Pelodiscus sinensis: one gene and its partner. The protein of the gene in region 2 interacts with the protein of the main gene of each other region in a biochemical or structural test. Links are inferred from orthologs where the notes say so. Each region holds a gene or a part of one and is shown on either strand. Other genes may lie near its edges. The genes, in order: KLHL6 and RC3H2.

Region 1 (12,903 bases), on a different chromosome or scaffold from region 2:
GTGGCCAGCACCAGGTGCCCCAGAGAGGGTGGACCGAAGACAATGATCAAGCGATTTGTCTCCTGCCATCCCTCTCCAGCCTCTGACAAACAGAGGCCAAGGACACCATTTTATCCCCTGGCTAATAGCCTTTTATGAACCTAACCTCCATGAATTTATCCACTTCTCTTTAAACTCTATTATAATCCTAGCCTTCACAGCCTCCTCTGGCAAGGAGTTCCACAGGTTGACAACACGCTGTGTGAAGAACTTTCTTTTATTAGTTTTAAACCTGCTACCCATTAATTTCATTTGGTGTCCTCTAGTTCTTCTATTATGGGAATTAATAAATAACTTTTCTTTATCAGCCCTCTCCACACCACTCATGATTTTATAGACCTCTATCATATCCCCCCTCAGTCTCCTTTTTTCTTAACTGAAAAGTCCCAGTCGCAATAATTTCGAAATAACGGACGGCTTATTCCGAAATCTATAAACCTCACTCTACAAGGAATAACGCCTATTCCGAAATAGCTATTTTGAAATAAGGCTTGTGTAGACACTCCACTGCTGCTATTTTGAAATAGTCCCTCACCTGGGCCATGCTAAGTTATCTACCCCTGAGTGCCTCCTGGGCTCTAAATCGAGATAGCACGTCTACATTAGGGAAGCCTGCCTCGGACTAATTTTGAGGCTTCCCTGCAGTGTCAACGTGCTATTTTGAAATAAGCTATTTCAGAATAACTATTCCGGAATAGCTTATTTCAAAATAAGCAAGCAATGTAGCCATACTCTAAGGCTATGTCTACACTACAGCGTTTTTCCAAAAAAACTTCACTTGTGTCCACACTGCAATCACGTTCTTTCGGAAAAAAATCGAAAGAACAGAGGTGTTTTTCCGACTTTGGTAAACCTCCTTCTACGAGGAAGAAGCCTTTTTCTGAAAGAGCTCTTTCCAAAAAAGGCATGTGTGGACTGGAAAGAGGGACTTCTTTTGAAAGAAGAGGAAAGAGGAAATAGCACAGGTGCTCTGGTGGCTACTTCATCCATAGTAATCACAGCTTACATGCGAGATAGCGTCCATTCAGTGTGGACACTATCAGTCAAAAAAGCAGATAGTTTTTTCAATGAGCTTTGGCAGTGTGGATGCTCTCTTTCGGAAGAAGTTTTTTTGGAAGATCTCTTCCGGAAAAGCTTCCTCCAAAAGAAGCCTTCAGTCTAGACGTAGCCTAAGTCTCCCACTATGTCCTGGACCCTATGAGTCCCAGAGAGGAGGGACTGGGAACTTTACAGATGAAGATGCCTTTAGGACAGAGTTACTTTCTCTGCTCCAGAAGCAGCTTCTCCCTCTGATGAACCTCATGGAGTTTGCTGTGGAGTTGAGAAGCTTGTGTCTTCGGGTATAAGGTATATAAATGGCAATGAATCTGAATTGTGGTTGGCTTGGCTGTTAATATTGCCTTAAATGGCAATTTCCTTGTTATTGATGACGGTGTGTTTGTAGACTATGTTTACACTGGCAACTGAGCGACAAAACTTTTGTTGTTCAGAATGTTAACCCCCCGCTCCTGAGAGACAAAATTTTTGCCACAGCAGCGTCAGGGTGAACTGCTGTTTCCGGCAGGAGCACTGTCTGGTTGACAACGCAAACACTGTTGTGAGCATGGAAGTATTTTGCCCCACTTTTAGCGACACAGTCATGTCATTCAAAGCTGTGTAGTGTAGACAAAACTAATCCTAACAGAGTATTGTGTACAGGATCTAAACCACAGAATTAACTAAGCGCCATCTCAAAGCACTTTGCTTCCTCACTGGCACATTCATCTTTCTTTAATTTATTAATCCCCCTTTAATTTTGAGTCTCTCTTCAAGCAGTTTTCTTCTATAAGATGAATGTACTGCTGGTGAATGGCTTCTCACTCCCAGTTCAATTCTGGTTTTGCACTTTAAATACCTGCTGATTATCCTGATCTTTGTCACTGAGTTCAGCTGTCACTTAGGGTTCGTCTGCTCTATGGGATAAGGTCCAATTAAGATACACAACTTCAGCTACATTAATTGTGTAGCTGAACTTGAAGTACCTTAACTCAACTTTTGGCGCTGTCCACACTACAGGGGCTGCGTCTAGACTGGCAAGTTTTTCCGCAAAAGCAGCTGCTTTTGCGGAAAAACTTGCCAGCTGTCTACATTGGCCACTTGAATTTGCGCAAGAACATTGACGATCTAATGTAAAATAGTGATAGAAATGTATTTGCGCAAGAGGGACAGCTAAAAAGTGTTTTGTGCAAAAAAGCCCCAAAGGTGAAAATGGCGATCGGGGCTTTCTTGCACAAAACCGTGCAAGAAAACTTTTCCGTTAAAAGCATTTGCGGAAAATTATGCCAGTCTAGACGTAGCCAGGAGGTCGAAGGGAGAACATTTCCCTTCGACTTCCCTTACTTCTCTTGGAAGCAGGCCTTCCGGCATCGACTGGTGCATGCCTCTTTGTTCGAATTAGTGTGTCTTCCCTGGACCCACTAATTCGAACCCTGAAAGATTAATAGCAGCAGCTTCGATCTTCTCTGTAGTGTACACGGACTCTTAGAGGCCAGGTGCCAGATTTCAAAGATGATTCAATCACAACAGTAAGATTAGAAGTACCTGAACCTTTTTTTGACTACAGCCAGAGGAAAACATGTGTGAGCGTCTCAAATGTAATTCATCTCCTATTAACCTGGAATGCCAAATCTTTCTAGGTTAGAAAGGACCACATAAGGATGCAAAGTTAGGAGAACTGTGTATAATTGTCTTGCAGACCAAAGTCTTCACGGACAGAAAAGGTGTGTGTTTCCTGCCAAACACAGATTAGCAACCTCTCTGGGAAGCGGAGGCCAGGTGCTGTCGTTTTTACCACAAAATACTTAGATGAGGTGAGCCACAGGCGGGGCCTATGCTGTTGACCTCTCCTAGCTAGATTTCAATAAAAGTGACCTGCACCTTCTCTACACTAGGGTTTTAAGCAAGATAGACAATCCATGTTAGTCTCCTGCTGTGCACGGCAGGGAAGACAGAGCCTGTGAGCAGAAGGCTTGTGCAGACCTAATCATTCCAAAGACTTGCCTCATTCGCATTTTCACTGCCCTGTAGCATTTTCCTGTTCCCTGCTTTCCTTCCTGGTTCCCACGGAAGTCAATGGCAAAATATCTTTTAACTTCAACAGGAGCAGGAGTTAGGCCCCTGTTACTTCTGTGTATTTTACTCTGTCATGTTATAGCAGGGGTGCTGCATGCTGTTGAGATGACATTTTCGGGTATTCCAGGCAGGCAGGCATTTGAGAGCAAAAGCACCGGTCACACGTTAGAGAGAGAGGGGTTCTATACAAAAAAGGAAAGAATTAAAGGGCACATACTGCACGTGTGGTAGTGGAAGAGCTTCATGTGAGTGAGAAACGGGCTGTTGTCCTAGGATGCAGCTGTTCTGTACCCTCACTTCTTTATCTCCTAGATCTGTGATTGTGGTCTTGTGGTAAGGCAGGGCACTAACAGCCGGGGAGGTGCAGCTCTGTTCTCACCTTATCAGCCTGAAACTGGAGTAACTCAGTGGAGTTACCGTGGCTTTCCGCTCTCACGGGGGAGCTTTCTGCACCTATCCTCTAACCTTTAAATGGGGGGAATAATATTTTCCCCTGCCCCCACTTCAGTGGGGTGAGGGGAGACTTGTTTACTGTGTGTGAGACCTGCTGAGACCCTGGGTTGAAAAGCGCTAAGCAACTCCACATCACTCCTCCTTGAAAGTCAGGGGGCAGAAATGGGGGGGAGGAGGGGTGTAACATCATGGAGGACTGGTGTCTCTTCCAGCAGCTCTACTGTGGCCAGGCAACTCTGCTCTACAAAATGGTGCCTTCCACGTGGGCCATACAGAAACATCCTGCAAGCCCCCAGCTGGACAAAGCTCTCGAGGCTGGGAATGCAGGGCACTACCACACCACTGCCCTGCTTTCAGATTTTCAGAATTGGGTGTCTAAAATAAGGCTTCAAAGTCCAAATTTAGACCCAGGAAATGGGAGCTGCTGTGCACCCAGCATTTTTGAATGTTAGGACACTTAGGTTCCTACATTTGGACTTAATGAGTGTAATTTTAAGCACCCGCATTTTGGCAAATGTTCGACTCTCATAACTAACAGTTGCTTCTGAAAATATTGGCCCCAGTTTCTGTGGGATTGTTTCTCCACTACCTGGTGCAAATCAGGTGTAAAATGCTGCTCTTCTGGTTTGGTACCCTCTTTACACCATTTACTTTGCACAGCTGGAGTGGAGAATTTAAGGCACGTTTAAGGATACAGGACTCCATCAAAACATTATATTATATATGATCTTCAATGATAACAGAGGAAGGACTGAAAGTTGATACCTCTGCCTGGTCCCTGCTCAACCCCTGTTTAAAATGTGAATTTAGCATGAACTACTTATACTATAAACTTAAAAAACAACAAATGGTCTGGTAGCACTTTATAGACTAACAAAGCACGTAGATGGGCTCATGAGCTTTCGTGGGCACAACCCACTTCTTCAGATGGCTGGAGTTTTATTATGTTAGCATCCAAAATGTGTTAGGCCTTGTACAAACCTACCCCCCAATTCAGGATGACAAATGAGAGAAATAATTTTAGAAAACTATTTGCTCCCTGCAGACATGCAACATCCAATGAATCCATCCTTGCTCTTCACATGACAAAACCCAGTCAGTATCCACCCTCCTTTTTGAGCCATTTTGTGCCATATCCCAAAGGGCTGAGAGGGGCACCATACACCCAGGGGCATTTCATCCTCCCAGAGTCCTCTGCCAACAGCAGATGCCTGGCTGATAGCAGTCAGTGATGTGTGATGCCAACAGCCACTCCCGTCACACTGGGGATCCCTGGCTGGAGGAAGCCAATCTGTAATCCCCTGATAACACACAATACTGGTTTGACTGTTGGCCATTTTTCAGTTACATTATTTTAATTCAGATTTCCACTGTTCATTTTGTTTCCCTTTTTCCATATGGCACCACTACTACACTGCTTTCAGCTGCATGAGTTTCACATGTAAATCTTATTTTGTATTAGGTTTAGTCTCGGATGTCTAAAATAGCACTTCTCTTGTGATCTCTGTGAGTAAACTTCACTAAGCCTCCATGAAACTGGCACTTCCTACTCAAATCACTAATGCCTGCAGATTTGTTTCCCTCCAGTTTCCACTGTAGTCAGTCACCACGCCATCTCAACAGTTGACAAAAAATCCCAGCTATGCAAATGTGAAGGTCTAAACTGATAATGGAAAATGTTATAACTCATACTGTGTTTCTCCATGAGTCTCAAGTTTGTTCCTTCCAATCAGGAGCCTAAAGTTCACTGTGGTTTTAAAAGGACTAAAGGTGGATTCTTTGGAATTTGTAAAATTTCTTCCTTACAAGAAGTTCCCATCTCTCAACTGATTTTACAGTAATCTTGGGAAAGACAGGAAAGAGGACACACATCCTTTTCCCTTCTCAACAAGTTTACAGACTATGCATTCTACCACATAGTAATAGTGAAAAAAGACAACTTCCACAGTCACACTAAAACAAAACTACCCCAAATTTGCAATGAATCAAGGATGCATACAATGATGGGTAAACAATGCTCAGAATATTTGGCTAAGATTTTGTCCTTCCATCGCCAATTGTTTTCCCTCCAGTTGTCTGTTTGGGGTAGACGTGACATGTTTGACATTGTTGCTTTCCTAATTTAAGGCTCCAACTGTCAAAGAGAGTAACGGAGACAGGGGTCCAAACCCTCTGAAAGTCGGCAAGAGCTGGGCACTCAGCCTGAGGCGCCTTAGAAACGCCCAGCCTCCGTGTACTGAGGGGAAAAGGTGTTGGTTTTAAAAACTGCCTTACCTGAAATAATTGCTTGCTGCCGCCAGGACCACACGGTGGCAAGAGAATTCCATGTGGTCCACACACAAGATGACATCCGTGAGAGAGTTTTCCAGCCTCAGGTTCTCCAGGCCATTCTGAAGCACCATAGAAAGCCCAGTGTCATCAAACTTAACCTTGTCCCCACTTGAGATTTCCACTAGGTCCCCCATCTTCCTGGAGTACTCATTGTCCAAAGAGACCAGAGGGTCTTCAGAACTTTTCTCCACTGTGTCCCCCATGTTGGAACCAGACCGTGTCATTCCGTTGGGGCTTCTCTCTAAAAGAGTTCCTAAGCTTCAGATGAGTTACACTGCCGAAGTTAAGCGGATTTCCTGTCCAGGGCTCTCCGCTTATCTACAGCTGTCACACACATAACAGGAAGCCTTGCACTTTCTCATCCTGTTAACACAAACAAAGGCTGGGAGGGTGGAGGTTTCTGTGAATTTCGGGCAATATCAACATGTTTAGAAAAGACTTAAGATGCTTCTAAATGTGAGAAGATTACAAATGATGGGGAAGGCCTCTCTCGCATCCTGACACTGGCCTTTTATTTATCCCAATTTGCTTATCCAAAATGAAAGGTGTCCTTTATGGATTCCAGGTCCATCCACTGGCAGTGAGTACTGAATGTGAGAAATGTCTGTTATCAGGCATAAATTCTCACAATTAGACACTTTATCATTTTAAATGCTGATGCCTGAGCTGCCATCTATAACATGTTTACTTTGTTGTTAGGGTGCTACCAAATTTACCACCATAAAACACACGTCACGGACCGCAAAATCTGTTCTCACTCTGTGAAATCTGGTCTTTTGTCTGCTATTTCTCTACACTGTGCAGATTTCACATGGGAGACCTGTGTTCCTCAAATTAGGAGTCCTAACCCAAAAGGAATTGCAGGGGGTCACCAGGTCATTTTAGGGGGGCACAGGATTGCCATGTTTACTTCTCAACTTTCTTTGGAGCTGGGCAGCTGGAGGGTGGTGGCTGTTGGTCATGTGCCCCGCTCTGAAGTCAGTGTTCCAGCCACCGCAGTGTAGAAGTAAGGCTGGTAATTCCATACATATCATGCCAACCTTGCATCTGCGCTGCTGACTCCAGAGCTGGGCGGCTGGAGAGTGGCGGCTGCTGACTGAGGACCTTGTTCAGCAGGCACAGCTACTGCCAGCAGCAGCGCAGCAGTAAAAGTAGCAGTATTATAACCCCTCCCACACCACAATAACCTTGTGAAACCGCCCCTACACACAACTCAGTAAATACACCAGAAGTTCACGAAGTTCCTCTCATAACTGTGAAGCCTCATTGAGAATTATTTTATTTTGATACCAAGAGACAAATTCTCTTCCTGTCTCTGTAGCACCTGACAACAACATGGGTGTAGTTTCACTCTCCCTCCACAAGAGGGCCATCCGAGTATAGGGTGGACTCCTGAATTGTATGCAATTGTGAGCTGCACAGGGCAGAAGAGGTTTAGGGCAGGATAAAAGCAACCTGAGTGTAGTGGGGTGGCTGCCCCACACTAGCTGGAAGGGGTTGAAGCAGGCTGGAGGGAGCCTGTGCAGAGCCTTGGCCAATCAGAAGAGGCTTTTAAGAAGCCAATCAGAGGGCAGCTTGCTGGGCCAAGCCCTGTATATAAGGAGCTTCCCAGCAAAGCGAGGCAGTCGGGTCCTGATGTTGGAGGGTGTGGGACTGGTTTCCTGAGAAACACTTTGGTGAGAGAGCAGTGCTGGACAGGATCAGGGGGGCTAGAGAGAGAGGCTTCAGCCTGATACCTTCCAGGCTGCTGGCCTTGACACAAGGGCCAGGGAGGTGCAGGAATCACAGGGGAAGTGGCCCAGGAAACAGGAGGCAGTAGAAGGGAGAGAAGGGGACAGGATGAGGCTTCTGCCCAAGGGTCTCTGGTCCAGGACCTAGAGTAGTGGGTGGGCCTGGGTCCCCCCTTATCACTCATACCACACCTTGCTACCAGGAACAGTGGCCTATACAGACTGTGGCGTGCCCTGAGGCAGAGGGGCTAGGCTTTGGGGATGCAGTTGGCCATAGTGGCAGGGGAAGTTGAGAACTGCTGATACCTCTGGAAGGGGGTGAGAGACCACTGTGGTGGGCACTGCTGGAGAGCAGTGTCCTGAAGAGGACTCCATGGTCTGGGAGTAATGTGGGTCCAGAGCAAGATCGTGAGAAGAGCACAGAGCGATGATGAGCAAGATATCTGCCAGGAGGCACCCTGCTGAAAACTGAGCTAATTCCTGGAACAACCAGCAGGAGGTGCCATGGCAGTGAATTGTGCCCCATGGGCACTGAGGAATTGAGGAAGAATGGAGTTCAAAGATTCATTGCTACAAAGATCCCCTCTGGGTTCTTCTCTTGTACTTTTATCCAACTTTTCCAAAGTTGAAAAGAAAGAAAGAAAGAAAGAAAGAAAGAAAGAAAGAAAGAAAGAAAGAAAGAAAGAAAGAAAGAAAGAAAGAAAGAAAGAAAGAAAGAAAGAAAGAAAGAAAGAAAGAAAGAAAGAAAGAAAGAAAGGCCCAGTCCTTGACATAATGTACTGTATTGATTCCAGAAAGGACAGAAAGAGGGAGAATTCACTAGGAGGGTGGTGAAGCACTGGAATGGGTTCCCTAGGGAGGTGATGGAATTTTCATCTCTAGAGGTTTTTAAGTCCCAGCTTGACAAAGCCCTGGCTGGGCTGATTTAGTTGGGATTGGTCCTGCCTTTAGCAGAGGGTTGGACTCAATGACCTCCTGAGGTCTCTTCCAATTTTATGATTCTGTGAGTCTAATACTCTAATTAAAATGGGAAATGTTTTTGGAATATTTTTTAAAAAGCTAAGTTTTGAACTATGAAAAATGAAAATGTTCAATTTTTTTATTCTCCTCCCCCCACCCCACACCAGTTTTTATCTAGCTCTAAAGAGACTTGAGTATGCTTAGGGTATGTCTACACTACATAGTTTGTAGTGACAAGGCTGTGTTGACACGGCCCTGTCACTAAAAGTCAGCATGAATCCATGCTGTCTGTCAGCACTTTTGTTGACAAAATACTTCCACCCCCAATGACGGGGTTTTGTTTTGTTAGCAGGAGTGGATTCACACTTTCACTTGCTGTGGCAAAACTTTGTCATGCGTGGGGGTAGAAGGCTGTTGATCAAGTGCAGACATAGCCTTAGACATTAGAATCCCTTACTGCAAGAACTTTAAGAATGGGATTTCTCTTTGGAGGCCTTCATGAACAAAGAGATGAAGACTAGTAACGGTAATATGTTGAGAAACATACTTTGTAAGATGGCTGATATTGCAAATTGGCTTTTAAACATTCTGTTTTTAATCGAAACAACTACATTGATTTGATTGCCTGACCTGCTCTTCATCCACCAATCCATCTCTACCCAGAATTACAACTATAATTCCAAACCTCTGAGAAGCTTCAAGCAAACTCCAAAGAGATGTTTCCTCTCCAATGTGGAATAGATCCTGCCACACACAAAAAACTACACTGCTCTGAGATACAAAACAGGTAATTTTAGGTCTTGGACTTGGGTTTACAGTCCATTCAAGGACTAGGAACAGAGGCTACATCTAGTCTTCAGGCTTCTTTCGGAAGAAACATTTCCAGAAGAGATCTTCCAAAAAAACATCTTCCAAAAGAGCTTCCACACTGCCAAAGTGCATCAAAAAAGCGATCTGCTTTTTCGAAAGGTAGCTTACACACTGAATGGATGCTATCTCGCATTTAAACTGTGATTACTATGGACAAAGTGGCCACCAGGGCACCTGTGCTTTTTCCTCTTTCCTCTTCTTTGAAAGAACTCCTTCTTCCCAGTCCACACATGCCTTTTTCCAAAAGAGCTCTTTTGGAAAAAGGCTTCTGCTTCGTAGAAAGAGGATTACCAATGCCAGAAAATCCCATTTGTTCTTTTAATTTTATTTCAAAAGAATGCGATTGTAGTGTGGACGTAATTGAAGATTTTTTGGAAAAACTGCCATTTTCCCACAAAACTTTATAGTGTAGGTGAGAAATTCTGAAAGCTAGCTAGAGAATTTAGCCACAGAACCCTGTTGAAAGTAATGGGAGTTGGGTGGCCTAATCCTGTCATTGGCTTTGGAACTTTATATCTGCAGGGAACCAGGAAATCCTCCATTTCAGTGGGATATGATACTTATTTCTAATTTTTATAAGTGGTATAAGAGCACACCTTGAATCTGTGACACTATTATTTACAGGATTGGTGCTTTAGGCCATCTCTAGGTTTCTGAAATTCATTAGTTATCTTTCTCTCTCCTTCCAAACTCTTTCTAATTAAAGCCACAATATTAAAGGAGCCTGACTTTACAATTGGAGGGAATGAACAATTATGCTGAGATAGAACTGGACTTTGGGTGGCCCTGGTGCAGGCTGCAAGGGTGGAAAGCAAGGAAGCCAGAAATCTTCCTCCTTTTCTCCCCTCTCTACTGCATTCATTGTCTGTCATTTCTTGCAGAATTTGCTCAATCTTTATTTGCTCCTTCATGATCCCAGAGCGGAATGCAGCTGTGGAGTTGCTATTGCTACTTCTAGTGACTGTGAATTCCTCTCTTCTTATGCTCCATCTGTGTCTGCCAGATCCATGGGTTCAAAAATCATGAGTCAGTCCCCAAAAAATCATAAGATTGATCTAAATAAATCATATTTTAACCACAATATTAGATTATTTGTATTTGCCTTCTAGTGTCTGAACCCTTTAAGGTTCCCATTTCCAAGCTTTTCTTTATACCATTAGGGTTAGAAACTTGACTGTTTTTTAAATGGAAACTGAGGTTCTCAGGTAAGTACCCAAGACACTTTAAGAAAACTACTAAACATTGCAAGATATAGTTAAATTACTAGGATGCGCAAAGGTGAATACAAACTTTGGGTTCAGGTCCCATTAACGCTGCAAAATGAAACCATGCCCTAACTATGTCAGTGGAGAACTGCGATGCAACTAGCTCCCCAACCATTATGGATGACATAGGGAATGCCCTAGCAGCCTCCACTGTGTTGAATGGTGCAAATGTTGATGGCTGTCTTCCTTCTTATCGCCATCTGTGCCATTATAGAATCATAGAACACTAGAACTGGAAGGGACCTCGAGAGGTCCGTCGAGTCCAGTTCCCTGCCTTCATGACAGGACCCAGTACAATCTAGACCATCCCTGATAGATGTCAATCTAACCTGCTCTTAAATATCTCCAGAGATGGAGATTCCACAACCTCCCAAGGCAACTTATTCTAGCGTTTAATCACCCTGACAATTAGGAAGTTTTCCCTAATGTCCAACTCCCTTGCTGCAGTTTAAGCCCATTGCTTCTTGTCCTATCCTCAGAGGCTAAGGAGAACAATTTTTCTCCCTTTTAGATACCTGAAAACCGCTGCCATGTACCCTCTCAGTCTTCTCCTTTCCAAACTAAACAAACCCAATTATTTCAGTCTTTCTTCATAGGATATGTTCTCTAGACCTTTAATCACCTTTGTTGCTCTTCTCTGGACTTTCTCCAATTTCTCCACATCTTTCTTGAAATGTAGTGCCCAGAACTGGACACAATACTCCAATTGAGGCCTAATCAGCACAGAGTAGAGCATAGGAATGACTTCTCGTGTCTTGCTCACAACACTCCTGTTAATGCATCCCAGAATCATGTTTGCTTTTTTTGCAACAGTGTCACACTGTTGACTCATATTTAGCTTGTGGTCCACTACGACCCTTAGATTCTTTTTTGCAATACTTCTTCCTAGAAAGTTGCTTTCCATTCTGAATGTGTGAAACTGATTGTTCCTTCCTAAGTGGAGTACTTTGCATTTGTCCTTATTAAATTTCATCCTATTTACCTCAGACCATTTCTCAAGTTTGTCCAGATCATTTGAATTATGACCTCATCCTCCAAAGCAACTGCAACCCCTCCCAGCTTCGTATCATCTGCAAACTTAATAAGCATACTCTCTATGCCACTATCTAAATCGTTGATGAAGATATTGAACAGAACCAGACCTAAAACAGACCCCGTGGAACCCGACTTGTTATGCCCTTCCAGCATGATTGTGAACCGTTAATAACTACTCTCTGAGAATGGGTATCCAGCCAGTTATGCACCCACCTTATAGGAGCTCCATCTAAGTTGTATTTGCCAAGTTTATTGATAAGAATATCATGCGAGACCGTATCAAATGCCTTACTAAAGTCTAGGTATACCACGTCCACTGCTTCTCCCTTATCCACAAGACTCGTTATCCTATCAAAGAAAGCTATCAGACTGGTTTGACATGATTTATTCTTTACAAATCCGTGCTGGCTGTTACCTATCACCTTATTATCTTCTAGGTGTTTGCAGATGAATTCCTTACTTGCTCCATTATCTTTCCTGGCACAGAGGTTAAACTGACTGGTCTGGTTTTCTAAAGCTACAGCCCAAGAAGAAAAACATATCATCTGCTGATTATGTACTCCTGGAAACTCCAGATCAGAGACCCCTGAACTGTATAAAAGCTGGACTAAATGTTTCATGACTGTGCTAGTTCTGAGCTGAGGTTGTTATGAACTTGTGACCACCGACAAGACCCTCTGCAGGCCTGAAAGGCTAATCACCTGCCACAGACCTTGTCAGAGTTGGGTGATCTCTGCTAAGTTTATTAGCCTGCATACAGATTCTTCTGGTGTTTTAGATATGTTTTCTGAGTGACGCTTTAGCCCTGGCATAGAAAGAGCTGTGTGGCAGCTTAACTGAGGCAGTTAATTATCAATCTCTGAAAAGAAACCAAGTAGCTCTGCTCAGGCAGTGAGCTTCTTGCTGGGAATAATATAGCAAATGCTGGGACCTGTTCTGGAGATGCACATCTCTCTCCCCACTGACTGGAGCACCCTTGCTGAGCACCAGAGGAGGAAAGATAGGTAGAACTGTGACACTCAGATCCCCTTGCCAACACCCTTTATTTGTAACTGCTATAAACCTTATCTTTTCTACCAGGCAGCTCCTCATGGTCAGAGTCTGCCTTT
Region 2 (12,148 bases):
AGCCAGCCTGGGCTTGGGTCTCCCCCAGGGTAATTTGGCACTGAACTCAGGAAATGGCCACTTGGGTCGTGGTGAAGGATCAGGCAGTGGGCAGCTGGGCACACGGGGAGCCTCGCCCTGTGCCTGACACTTCTCCTAAGCCTGCTGGCCCAGCAGCCCATGAGCACCAAGAATGACTGTAGCATTGCCCTGGAGCAAGTCATGGCACCCAGGGGCATGGGAGTCTGTCTCTGTCCCCAGCATGAGTGGGCCTCGCATAAGCCAAAGCAGCCTTTGGGCCAGGGGACAGGCCCCCTGAAAAGCTGTGGCCAGAACTGAGTGGGCAGGACTCTTGGGAGGCAGAATCTATCCAGGTTGGGCTGGCAGGTGACTTTGCCATCCCCGAAGGGGCAGGGAGCCCGTGTCTAGCCTCGCTGTGAGGGAGCTCGTGCGAGGGTGGGGCGTGTAGACACAGAGTGATGTGATGATGTCACTGTCATCCCAAGGGAATTTTTTTTTTTTTAAACAAAGAGAGAGTTACCCTAATCTTTCTACGTGAAAAATCCACCAACACAATGCAGAAAATGATTAAGCACACAGCAAGAAGGTTTCATTTTTTTAACAGTATGTTGAAATGCTATCAGTTGAGACATCATATTAAGACCACCTTAGATTACTAAACCTGAAGAATTTAGACATCTAAATATACTGTTTGCTATTCATTATGAAACTATTGCATAGAGGACAGACTTGCCCAAATCATCAAGTTTCACTTTTTATTTCTACTGCAGTAGCTACATGCTACTGAGTTTGAATTCATAATCCTCCCAGGGGATGTTTACATTTTCCTATCAATCACAATAAGTGAACCTGAATTTGTTTTTTGAATCACAAAAAATGTGGATTTAACTACTTGATGAAATTACTTTAAACATTAGATTTTTTTAATTTATAATTTGTGAAGCTGATTCACAATGGAGCTGTATGGTACATGAGGCTCACATTTTAAACTAACTTTGGCACATTCTCTCAATCCTATTAACCTTCCCTATTGACTTCAATGAGTTCGATTCCACTCAATTTTTAGTCCTACTATTGAGAACTTTGAATTATTAAGGACTGAGTGCATTAGGCACTGCAAATTACAACATGGATTTTATTCTAATATAATACACTCTTACTATATGATTTTAACCATGCTTCTGAGGCTGAGATGCTCTTTACATAGTAGCTAGCTGCAGACAACTTGGGATTATAAAATGGGAAAATGTCAAGGCATCCATTGCAATTTTCCATCTGTGCAAGCAAATTAATCACTTGTTTAGACTACAGTAAGTAGGTTTGTCAAGCCTTCCTTCTGAAGTTACTTAAGTTGAAAGTTTCTCATCTATCTCAGTAATTTATTGCTCATGTTATCAAATTATTAGTATCAAATTACATTCTAAATGGACTTCAGTCTTCCATTTATTACTCTAACCACCACAACATACATAGCCAAGAAACTGGGTGCACATTAAAGGCCAAGGAAGTTGGCAGTCCCAATAATAACTTTGCATCATTTAGCTATGATGATTTGAAGTGAAAATAAATCTTCTTTAGATAGAACAGACTTGCTTGTTTCTGCATATCACGTAATATCCGTCACATTTAAATCTTCTGAGAAGCAGCCTAAATGTAAAGAGAGCTGTTCAATGACCACTACAAGACAATATTCCAAGCTACCATTCTGATAGGACTTTTTATTAGAAACCTGAATTTATCTCTGGGGAAAGTACAAGTCTCATATTAGGGATATAGAAGAGTAGTTGATTAGTCAACTACACAATGGGCCTAGGCTTATTGGTTATTTGAGTTGACCACTTGCATCCCCCCCCCCCCAGAGGCAGAAAGGAGGATGGGGGAAACAGGAGCTGGTGCTCGGGAGGGGGGGGGGGGGCAAAGCCAGCTTAAAAGCCAGATCCCCCAGCAATGTCTCTGCAGTGCCACTTTCCCCCACCCCGTGCTGCTGCCTCTGTCAGAAGCAGCAGTGCAGGGGGACCAGGGAAGGCTGCTCTGGCAGCAGCCTCTGTCTGTAAGGGGTCCCAGTAGGAAGTTGAGCCCTCCCACAGATAGGAGAAGCTTCGCCGCAGCAGCTCCTGTCCACAGGGGGTTGCAATTCCCCACAGGAACACCCCCACACTCCGTGTACAGGGGCTGCTGTTGGAGCAGCCCCTGACTCCATGGCAGCTGGGGCTGGCCACGAAAAGAGGCTGCCCCAGCAGCAGCCACTGTCCACATGACAGCAAGCTGCTCTGGCAGCAGCTCCTGTCCGCAGTGGGCCCCAGCTCCCTGATGGGACCCACCCCCAGACAGGGGATGCTGGACCTGGCATGAGCTGGGACTGAGCAAGCCTAGCTCGCTCCCAGCTCACGCTGAGTCCAGGAACTATCGCTGCTGCAGTTCTGCAGTTGGGGTAGCCCCTTCTGAGTACCTTCCCTTATCGACTAATACAAGTCAATACAAACTGAGTTAACATCCTTAGCTTATATTTCAGGGAGAAATGTTGTTTTATTTAAGAAACATCACATCCATGTACCTCAATTTGAAACAGACCAAAACAACAAGGTACTTTTTTCAGGGATCCCCATATTACAGACTTGAGCTAATAATTAAACAACCAACAATCTAGCACTTTTCCTGGATTTATTTATGCACATTTCTGTGGTGATCATTATCATAACCTATTATAAAATTGTCTTAGACTTTAGCCTTTGCCAAACACCCATAGGGAAATTTGGAAACTGCAATACTTGCAAATTTCCTAGCACAGAGACTTTAAAAAACACAATTTTTAGACTATTTGTTGAAATGTGGTTATACTATGTAACACATTAATATAAAAATGGCATCAGCACGCAAGATTTATTATTGCTTGTGATTTCTAGATAAACATTGCTGTTCACATGTAAAAGTGTTTTTGTTTAGTTGGGTTTTTTTCCCTAAATGCTAGAACCATTCATCCAGGACCTCAGTCAAGATTCTCTTTCCTGTTCAAGCAACGTATGTTAAGATGTTCACTGAGTTATACATCTGTTTTCTGGCTTGTTGCAGGGGGTGTAACAGAAAGAATTTTGGCTTCCTAAAATACAGACAAAAAACCCCATCTCCCATAGATTTTTCAGGACTAACAGAAGGACAAAATGGGAAAAATGTTTGATGCTAAAATCAGAGGAGCTTGTTTTGAATATCAAAAAAATATGTTTGTTTAAGAAGGTGCTATTTTTACTTTTCAGAGTACATCTGCACTTAAAGGGTGATGTCCAGAAGACCAAGGATCACATGGGGCAATTCTTTCTGCATTTATCCTGAACCTTCTCCCATTCACCCCAGTTGCACTTTTTAAAACATCCCTTTTACAAGTGAACAGTCCCGACACTAACAAATTTCACAATAACATTTTGGGCAAGAGTTAGTAATTCCCTGAAGAATTATTTTCATGCAAGCAACATCAAGACTTTTTGGAGCCGAGACCAAATAATAATAAACTCATACAAGGATATATGTTCAGTGCAATCCTCCATCCAACATGAAAACCAAAGCCAGAGCTATTACTCATGTTCTGTTCATTAATAACTGTAAAATTTGTATACAGCAAGCTGCATTTTATTTATCTTTAATAGTTGATTTTCCAGAAAGTATGTAAGATAAATATTGGCATCCTATGCCATATAAGTTAGCTAAGTAAATAAAGATCAATACTGAAAACCAACCAAGATTATCTTTTAAGCAATCTCTAATATTTCCATTAAGTTGACAGAATTTCATTTTTTTGTATGGAGTGTATTATCCCATACAAGCTAGAAATGCTAATGCTATTACTTGTTGAAAAGTATATATTGAAGTATATTCTTCATATTCAATAAGAAAGGCATATAGACCTAGGGAAAGCATAGTTAGTGACAAAGAATAAGAATGAAACAGTACAATGTGCAATAGGTTTTAAATTCTGGAATTCCAGTGATGTTTTTAAACAAAAGATTGAGGGTCAAATAACTAACTGATCCAAACAGATCTCTATTTACAATTTTACTAGCATGTTCTCATTTAAAATTCTGTATCACCGTTTTTTTCTCTTACTGATAATTAAGGACAAGATCATTGGTTAGAAAAATAAACCTATGTGAAAAAGATAAATTGGCAATAGCCACAAAAATAGCCAAATTAGGGTCAGGCCCAACTTTGTCATCACATATGAGACAGAAAATACATCCAGAAGATCTTGCCATCAGAATCTTTCCTAATTTTCAACCTAGACTGTTTTAATTATCACTTATTTCTAGGTATAAGCTTCTCCCCCAATAACTCCTATAATCCTTCCTACTAAATCAATACCTCTACCACAGAATCATATTGCTGTTATTCTCTACAATCCCTCCCCGCTCTTGTACTTAAAAGCGGAGCTATGCGTGGACACAACATTTGTATCCGCATCCACCAAAGAACCACAGATATCCGCCCTGACATTTGCAGAGGCTAATACCCGCAGATACAAAGCGGCTACCCGCACATCTGCTGGGCTCGACATACAAAACTTGCATCTGCATCCACAGCTGCCCAAACGAGCTGCGGAACGTCCGCGTCCAATGCGCGGATTTGCAGGGCTCCACTGAACAGTCCGCTGCTCTTTCACAGAAGGATGCGGGCTGGGCTCGTCTCCTAAGCCCCAGCAGGTACCATCGCCGGGGCTTTGTCTGCGCTGCTATTTCTCTTCGGGCGTCCCCACAGGGCTCGTGACGCCTCGCCCCGGGCTAGCAGCAGGGTGAGCCGGCGGGCGGAGCGAAGAGCCCAGGGGCCTGTCTAGCGGAGGGCCCGCGGGGCCACAGCAGCCGAGCGGAGGGGCACGGCCCCGGGGGCGGCCCTGTCCCGCGGGAGCCCGGGGAGGAGGGGCCCCGGCTCCCCGCGCAGCAGCCGGGGATGGCGCCCCCAGCCGCGCGGCGAGCCCGGGACCAGGCGGCGAAGGCCCCAGGCGGCTCCCCCCCCCCGCCGGGAGGGGCGCTGCTGACAGCGAGGGGGCGAGGCCGGGGCTGACAGCCCCCCCCCCCGCCGCGCGCTGCCGCAGGGCACTGGGGGGGGCGCTGCGGCGGGGGCGCCCGGCCGCGTTCTCCTGAGGCGCTGCGCCCCCCCCCCCCCGCCGAGCGCGCGGCGCCTCCCCCCGCCCGGCCCCGCCCGCCGAGCGGCCCTACCTGCGCGGGGCGGCCGGGCCGGGAGCAGGAGGCGGCGCCGGCCTCTCACACTCCATGGGGCGGGCAGCCCGGAGCGGCCCGGCGGAGGCAGCGGCGGGGGCCTCGGCGGCGCCTCCTCATCGCGGTGACAGCCGGGAGCCCAGCCCCTCCGCCCCCCGCTACTATCGCGAGAGCTGGCCGGGTCACGTGAGACGGGAGCCTTTTCTCCCCCCTTCTAGGGCCGCCCCTTCGCGTCACATGACAGCCAGACCCGCGCCGGTTGGGTGAGCGGCGGACCTAGTGCACTGTGGGTAAGAACCATAGAGATGATGGAGCAGAGAAGCCCCAGCCCAGGGAGTGGGCGTGTCCTACGCCAGGCTGGAGGGAAAGGCCCCAGGCCCCCGCCTGCCTGGGCGAGGCGTTATTCTCTCCCTGCCCCTGCCGGCCCCAGAGAGCAGGAGCTCGGTGCAGCTGCCCCAGGGGAAGGGGGCTGCTGCTCTGCTTGGCCCCACTTGGCCTGCAGCAGAGAAGGGGCGTGGGCCTTGCCTGCAGCCCTAAAACTGCTGCTCCCCTTTTTCGTGGAAGAGAGGCGGGGAGCAGAGCGGCAGGCTGCAGCCAGAGGAAGGATGAAGTCCTTTGATGCAGATGCTGCTAGTTGAGCATGGTTGTTTCCTCGGCGAGGGCCTTCTTTTCCTCCTCCGTAAACTAGTAGGCTGTGTCTAGACTGGCCAGTTTTTCCAGAAAATCAGCCGCTTTTCCGGAAAAACTTGCCAGCTGTCTACACTGGCCGCTTGAATTTCCACAAAAGCACTGATTTCCTACTGTAAGAAATCAGTGCTTCTTGCGGAAATACTATTCTGCTGCCGTTCAGGCAAAAGTCCCTTTTGCACAAAACGTTTCTGCAAAAGGGCCAGTGTAGACAGCTCAGAGTGGTTTGGTGCAAAAAAGCCCTGATCGTGAAAATGGCGATCAGGGCTTTTTGCGGAAATGTGTCCGTGCCAATTTAGACACGCTTTTGGGGAAAAGTGTCCGTGCCAATCTAGACGCTCTGTTCCGAAAATGCTTTTAACGGAAAACTTTTCCATTAAAAGCATTTCCAGAAAATCATGCTAATCTAGACGCAGCCGTAAAGAAATCACAAGCTGCATTATTTGAAATAAAGACTCCAAGCCTGCTTTCTCAGTCTTTTGCCACAGAGACCTCAGGAGGTCAGAACAACAAGCAGCCCTCGGGCAGTTAACTGGTTAGAAACAAACTAAGGGGGGGGGACAGTTACATACGTATATAAAAGAACTGTGGAGTCCAACATAAGAATGGCTATACTAGGTCAGACCAACGCTCCCTCTAGCCCAGTATCCTGTCTACCCACAGAGGCCAATGGCATTGATGGACCTAACCTTCATGAATCTATCCAGCTCTTCTTTGAACCCTGTTAAAGTACTAGTCTTCACAACATCCTACATTAAATTAATGGAGATTGCCTATCTCCTAGAACTGGAAGGGACCTTGAAGGGTCATCAAGTCCAGTCGCCTGCCTTCGCAGCAGGACCAAGTACCATCCCTGACAAATTTTTTGCCCCAATTGCCTCCTCAAGGATTGAACTCACAACCCTGGGTTTGGGGGGGGCCAATGCTCAAACCACTGAGCTACCCCTCCCCGTCTGGCAAGGAGTTTTACAGTTGACTGTGTGTTGAACATGACTAACAATTGAGAGTGTACTTAAAATATCAAGTTAGCTATAATTTAAGTACATGGACAATTTCTTAACATAATATTCAATACTTTTAAGATAGTTTCAGTCTCTCTCTCTCTCTATATATATATATATATATATACACACACACACACACACACACACTCCTCAAGAGTTGTGTATATATAAACAATGCTTATTTCCATCCCATTTTATCAGGTTATAGAAAAAAATAATTACATTTAAGAAAAGCACCAGGGGACTCAGACATATGTATGCATATAAGTGAATTTCTCTCTCTCTCAACAAAATTAATCAGGAAAGAAATTCGAGCAACTGAAGAGATAAACATAAACCTATACTATTACAGATGAACAAAAAACTTACCAATCCTCACACAGAAGGTGCATATCAAGATCATAGCCTCTATTAGTTAGGTAAGCGTCGAATTTATCACCTAGGTCTAAACAAAGACATTAATTATCTTACCCATTACAAAGATAGCTTCCCCAATTATCACCTCTAATATCATTAGCTCACAGACATTTACCTCCCTTCCTCATCCCCCTTCTGTTCTGAAATTTGATTTGTCCTTTTCATGTGTGTGCATTTTTTTGATTGTATCCTTTGGTATATATGGTTGTGCCAATTTTCTTCCACTGTTAGATCTGAGGAAGTGGTTCTGGCCCACGAAAGCTCATCACCTAATAAACCATCTTGTTAGTCTTTAAAGTGCTACATAGTCCTGTATATTGGACAATGATTGTTTGATTCTGTATTGCTGACAAAAAGACACTGCGGTAGAACAAACTGAAAGTCAGCCAAAACAAGGCTCTATCTGTCCCCAAACATCACAATACATATAATTATTCTACTACAATAAAAGATCCCATTTAAAAAGCAACAATTTTTTTCCTTAGTTTGGGTATGTCTACACATGGATCCCTAGTTCGAGCTAGGTATGCAAATGTAGCCAACCAAAATTGCTAATGAAGCAGGGATTTAAATATCCTGCGCTTCATTAGCATAATCTCACCCCAGGGGTTTGATTCGAACTGTCCCAGGGCGCACTTCCTGGTTCAAATCAGCTGTTGGCGAGATTATGCTAATGAAACACGGGATATTTAAATCCTCACTTCATTAGCAATTTCAGTCAGCTATATTTGCATCCCTAGCTCAAACTAGGGAGCAAGTGTAGACGTACCCTCTGTTATTTTAATATAGTTCTCCAATGTTTTCTGACATCTAACATGTAGGACCAGATTTCTTTTTTTTTTTTTTTTTAAAGTGCAAAACTGAAGGTCACTCAGTCATGAATTTAAAAGCAGCCAGTCTTCTACAAAGAAATGTCACTAATTACAGTCTGCAGAACTCTGAAATTAATCTTCAAATGCGACACTTACCTGGGCTTGAATAAAGACATTAACTAGTTGGCACATTACAAAGCCAATTTCTCCTGCCTTTAACATCCTCATTTTCACAAAAAAAACTATGAACGGGATACATCCAGCCCACTTAATTAGCCTCATTAATATGGGTCCTACAACTGACAGGTACTTCTGCTGTTTATATTTGATATCTCGTTTTCTGGTATTTTCACTCTAATTCATCTGATGAAGTGGGTAGTACCCATGAAATCTCATGATTCTATACATTTTGGATAGTCTCTAAGGCCAGGTCTACCCTAAAGGTAAGATTGAATCAAAAGACAACTCCAGCTATGTTAATTATGTAGCTGGAGTTGATGCATCTTGTTTCAAATTTCCCTACCATCCCCGCAGCAGGTAGCCAACAGCTTCTGTTGGCTTCCCTTACTGGTCGCAGAAACAGGAGTATCAGCTGCAGATGGGGGCACCCTCAGAGTTCAAATTAGCAAGTCTTAACTAGACCCGTTAATTTGAATTCCAGAAGATCTATCACATCAACATTGATCTTCTGTTAGTAAAGACATGGCTTTAGGTGCCACAGGACTACCCACTGCACAAAAAATAGCTATAAACCTGTTAATTTGAGTGTATGCACATTATTTAATATAATACAGAAACCAAGAGTGCAGAGTAAGAGTATGTTCTGGAAGTCAAGCAAGCCCTTAATGTTACTATTAAACAAAATAAGACATTTACCAAACCAATAGTGAACCCTATGCATTTGTTACCACGTGAGGGACCAATACAGCCACCACTAAATGCAATGACATCAAGACTGCAAACACAGAAATAGCCAAGGAATACAAGCCAAACTAACAAAAGTGCTGTAAAAAGCAATTGCCACTACTGTGGAACTGCCAAATTTCACACCTAAAACTCACAAAATTAATCATGCATCAATATCCAGCACAAAAGGAAACAAAACTCATATTTGCCGAACCTAAGGATTGAATTGTTATAGTTAAGAATCCCAAAACAATCATGTCCAAATTATATATCCAGGATAAGGGCAGAGAGATGAGAGAGGTCTTATGCTTACAGTTATACCTTCCTTGATTATATCATTTAGGCCTCATTCCTCCTGCGACATATATACACACTTAACTTTACACAACAAATAGTGCCATTCGTTTCAGTAGGACTACTTCACAGTACATAAAATGAACTGAAACATCTTGAGTTTATGCAGGCCTAGGTCATTAGTCTTTCTGTGCCTCAGCACACCTTTCTGTAAAATAGAGATAGCAAAACTTCCCATCTATAATATATATTGTAAACCTTGAGACAGGAATTAACTCTGCATCCCATGCTTAGCTTTATGCATGAACTCAGCTAAGACCTCTAGGCGTTATAATAAGCGACTGGTAAATCAGTTCTTTAAAGCTTAATTCTAACTATCAAGTAAAGAACCTATTATAAACCCATTCTGAAACAATGGTAAAAAATGGCTAAAATATTAAACCTGCCAAAACTGGACAGAGAATGCAATCACACCAGTACAGTTGAACATTGCTATTATAGATGAATAATAGGAAGTTATACAGCATATATTGTGTACATAAACCCCATCTAATTGGATGGTGAGTGAAACCCAACAAGGTGACTTTTGTACTACATGACATACTGGAAGTTAAGAGATCCTTTTGCAAGTGACATAAGAGCTTTATAGTGTAAATACATAAGAAAGAGCACTACTGTTTTTGCTAATTCAAGAGGATCTAGAATAAATGGCATTATTCCACTCTAACAGTATATATTTTTATTTATACCACATTAAATGGAAGAAACATGTATGCCACTCAAGGACAGGCACAAGATAAATAATTTGAATTACAGAGCACTTTGATGCTTGCAGGTAAAACCATAAAGTGTAACATCTATCCAGACACATTCAATAGTGTTTTACAATATCATACATTTACAGATTGAAGAGTCCTCCATATCCAAACGGTTCCTTATATAGAAAGGCCTCTACGTCTATTTGAAAAACATCCTAATATAGAGCGTAGCTCGGATTTTCACAGCATAAGTATACATCTGAGACTTACAAAACTAAGACAAACATAAAATACAATCAGAAGACAAAGAATTGATTACCAAAACTTACAACCAAACAATTTGTGTCAGTGAGAACAATGCTGTTAGAAACCTTTAGAACATGACTAAAATGAGACTCTATTCATTTAGCAGAGAGCCAAAACAGCAGCAGGGAAAAATGCAAAGAGCCGCACCAGAATTGTCTGGGGGGAGGGGGGGGCGCGGGGGGGGAAAAGAGGCTGCCTCTTTAAGAAACAAGCTGAGGCTTTTTGGCCATATCGGGCTCCCGTTGTCGGCTGCCCCAGTGAGCAGAGGAGCCAGGAGCACGGGTCATAGGGAGGGAGGAAGGACATGCAGAAGCAGCTGCGCGAGCCTCACTTTTGGGGAAGAAGAGACGCATGTGGCTTGCTAGCGCAGGTTGGCCACCCCTACTCTATTCAGTTAAAAGTGAACTGAATACTACATTTGTGCCTTTTTCAGTTCCTCTAAGACAAACTTTAAAGCTTCCTTAGAGAGTTCTCCTGTTTTTATTTTTTTTAAACTACACACTTGGCAATCAGATATGAGGAGTGTGGGAGAAAAATCTATTTAGAATAGAATAGGCCCTGACTTCTTTTTGCTAAAAGATCCAAAAATTTGGTGAACTGAGAAAATGACCTCACATAGACTGATACATTAACTATCGCTCTTGGAGCACTCATAATTAACGTTCTGAATAGGTATTGACATTTCTATTAAAGGTTGGGAAAGCAACAGTTCAGATTTTAGCTTGTTGAGAGATCAATGATCCCCCAGAAATAGGCAGTGTCCTCGAACATGAGGAGGAAGTGTGAAAGAAAAGCAGCAAGAGTTCTCTTTTAGAAGAAAAAGTTTTGTGCAGATGTCTTTTATCTGTACCACGAGCACCAGTAAAGGAACACAAATTTTGTTCTATTTTGCCATTTACTTTTAGCTAGCAAACACCATCCATACAACTGTACCAACACTAGATTTCAACACAGTAAATGAGAGTAGGTATTTATTTGCACTTGTCGCCCTTACATAGAGATTTGCTGGAAAACTGGCATTTCACCACAACAGCATGTCTTTACAGTTATCCAGAAATCCACTAATCATAGTCTATTTTGATTTGTGTAATAACGTCAAGGTTTGGTTTGTCTCCACCACTCCTTCCATGAACTGAAGTCAAGTGCTTTTTTAGGGCAGATTTGTGTTTAAAATCCATGTCACAACAATGGCATTTGTAAGGTCTGTCCCCACTGTGAATATTCAAATGGTCCTGAAGTGTGCTTTTAGCAGTAAATGTCTTCAGACAAACCATGCATTGGAATGGGCGGATGCCCATGTGCCCTCGGATGTGCCTGTTGAGATTCTTCTTTTGGGTAAATGTTTTCCCACACTGTAAGCATAAGAAGAGTTTGTGCATTTTTAGGTGTCTCAGATAGTTTTCAAGGTGGACAAATCCTCTGGGACATTTAGGACACTGGTGCCGCCATGAATAACCAGAATCTTCCAGACTCTGAAATCCACTCATTACACTGGAGGTTCCTTCTGTATTGTCACTGACAAACCCCTGAAAATGATTCCCAGGCATTTCTGTAATTCTGTTCTCAACAGTAGAATTTATCAGTGAATGTTGCGTTTCTGGAAAATATAAGCTTGTTTTAGAGGAGGTGCAAGGCTGCGGAAAATGATCATTGTCCACATTATCTATGCTCATGGAATCCATTCTGAAGATACAAATTTCATCATCTTTATATCCTATTTCGACTGTGGAAATCTCTGGCGATTTCATGTCCTTTCTTTCCGA

Evidence for each region.
Region 1: the proteins of RC3H2 (region 2) and KLHL6 form a complex in vitro, tested with the Homo sapiens proteins (2 studies listed by BioGRID, with this or other methods). The link is inferred for Pelodiscus sinensis from reciprocal best matches to the Homo sapiens genes RC3H2 and KLHL6.

What each region holds. Positions count from the first base shown.
Region 1 is NC_134720.1:7,873,940-7,886,842, forward strand, and holds the start of KLHL6 (kelch-like protein 6), read right to left. Parts: upstream 6,281-12,903; 5' UTR 6,159-6,280; coding exon 5,878-6,158; intron 1-5,877. UniProt on the Homo sapiens protein: Involved in B-lymphocyte antigen receptor signaling and germinal center formation.
Region 2 is NC_134732.1:23,199,427-23,211,574, forward strand, and holds the start of RC3H2 (roquin-2), read right to left. Parts: upstream 5,369-12,148; 5' UTR 5,202-5,368; intron 1-5,201. Other genes in the region: ZBTB6 (zinc finger and BTB domain-containing protein 6), read right to left, coding at 11,447-12,148. UniProt on the Homo sapiens protein: Post-transcriptional repressor of mRNAs containing a conserved stem loop motif, called constitutive decay element (CDE), which is often located in the 3'-UTR, as in HMGXB3, ICOS, IER3, NFKBID, NFKBIZ, PPP1R10, TNF and in many more mRNAs.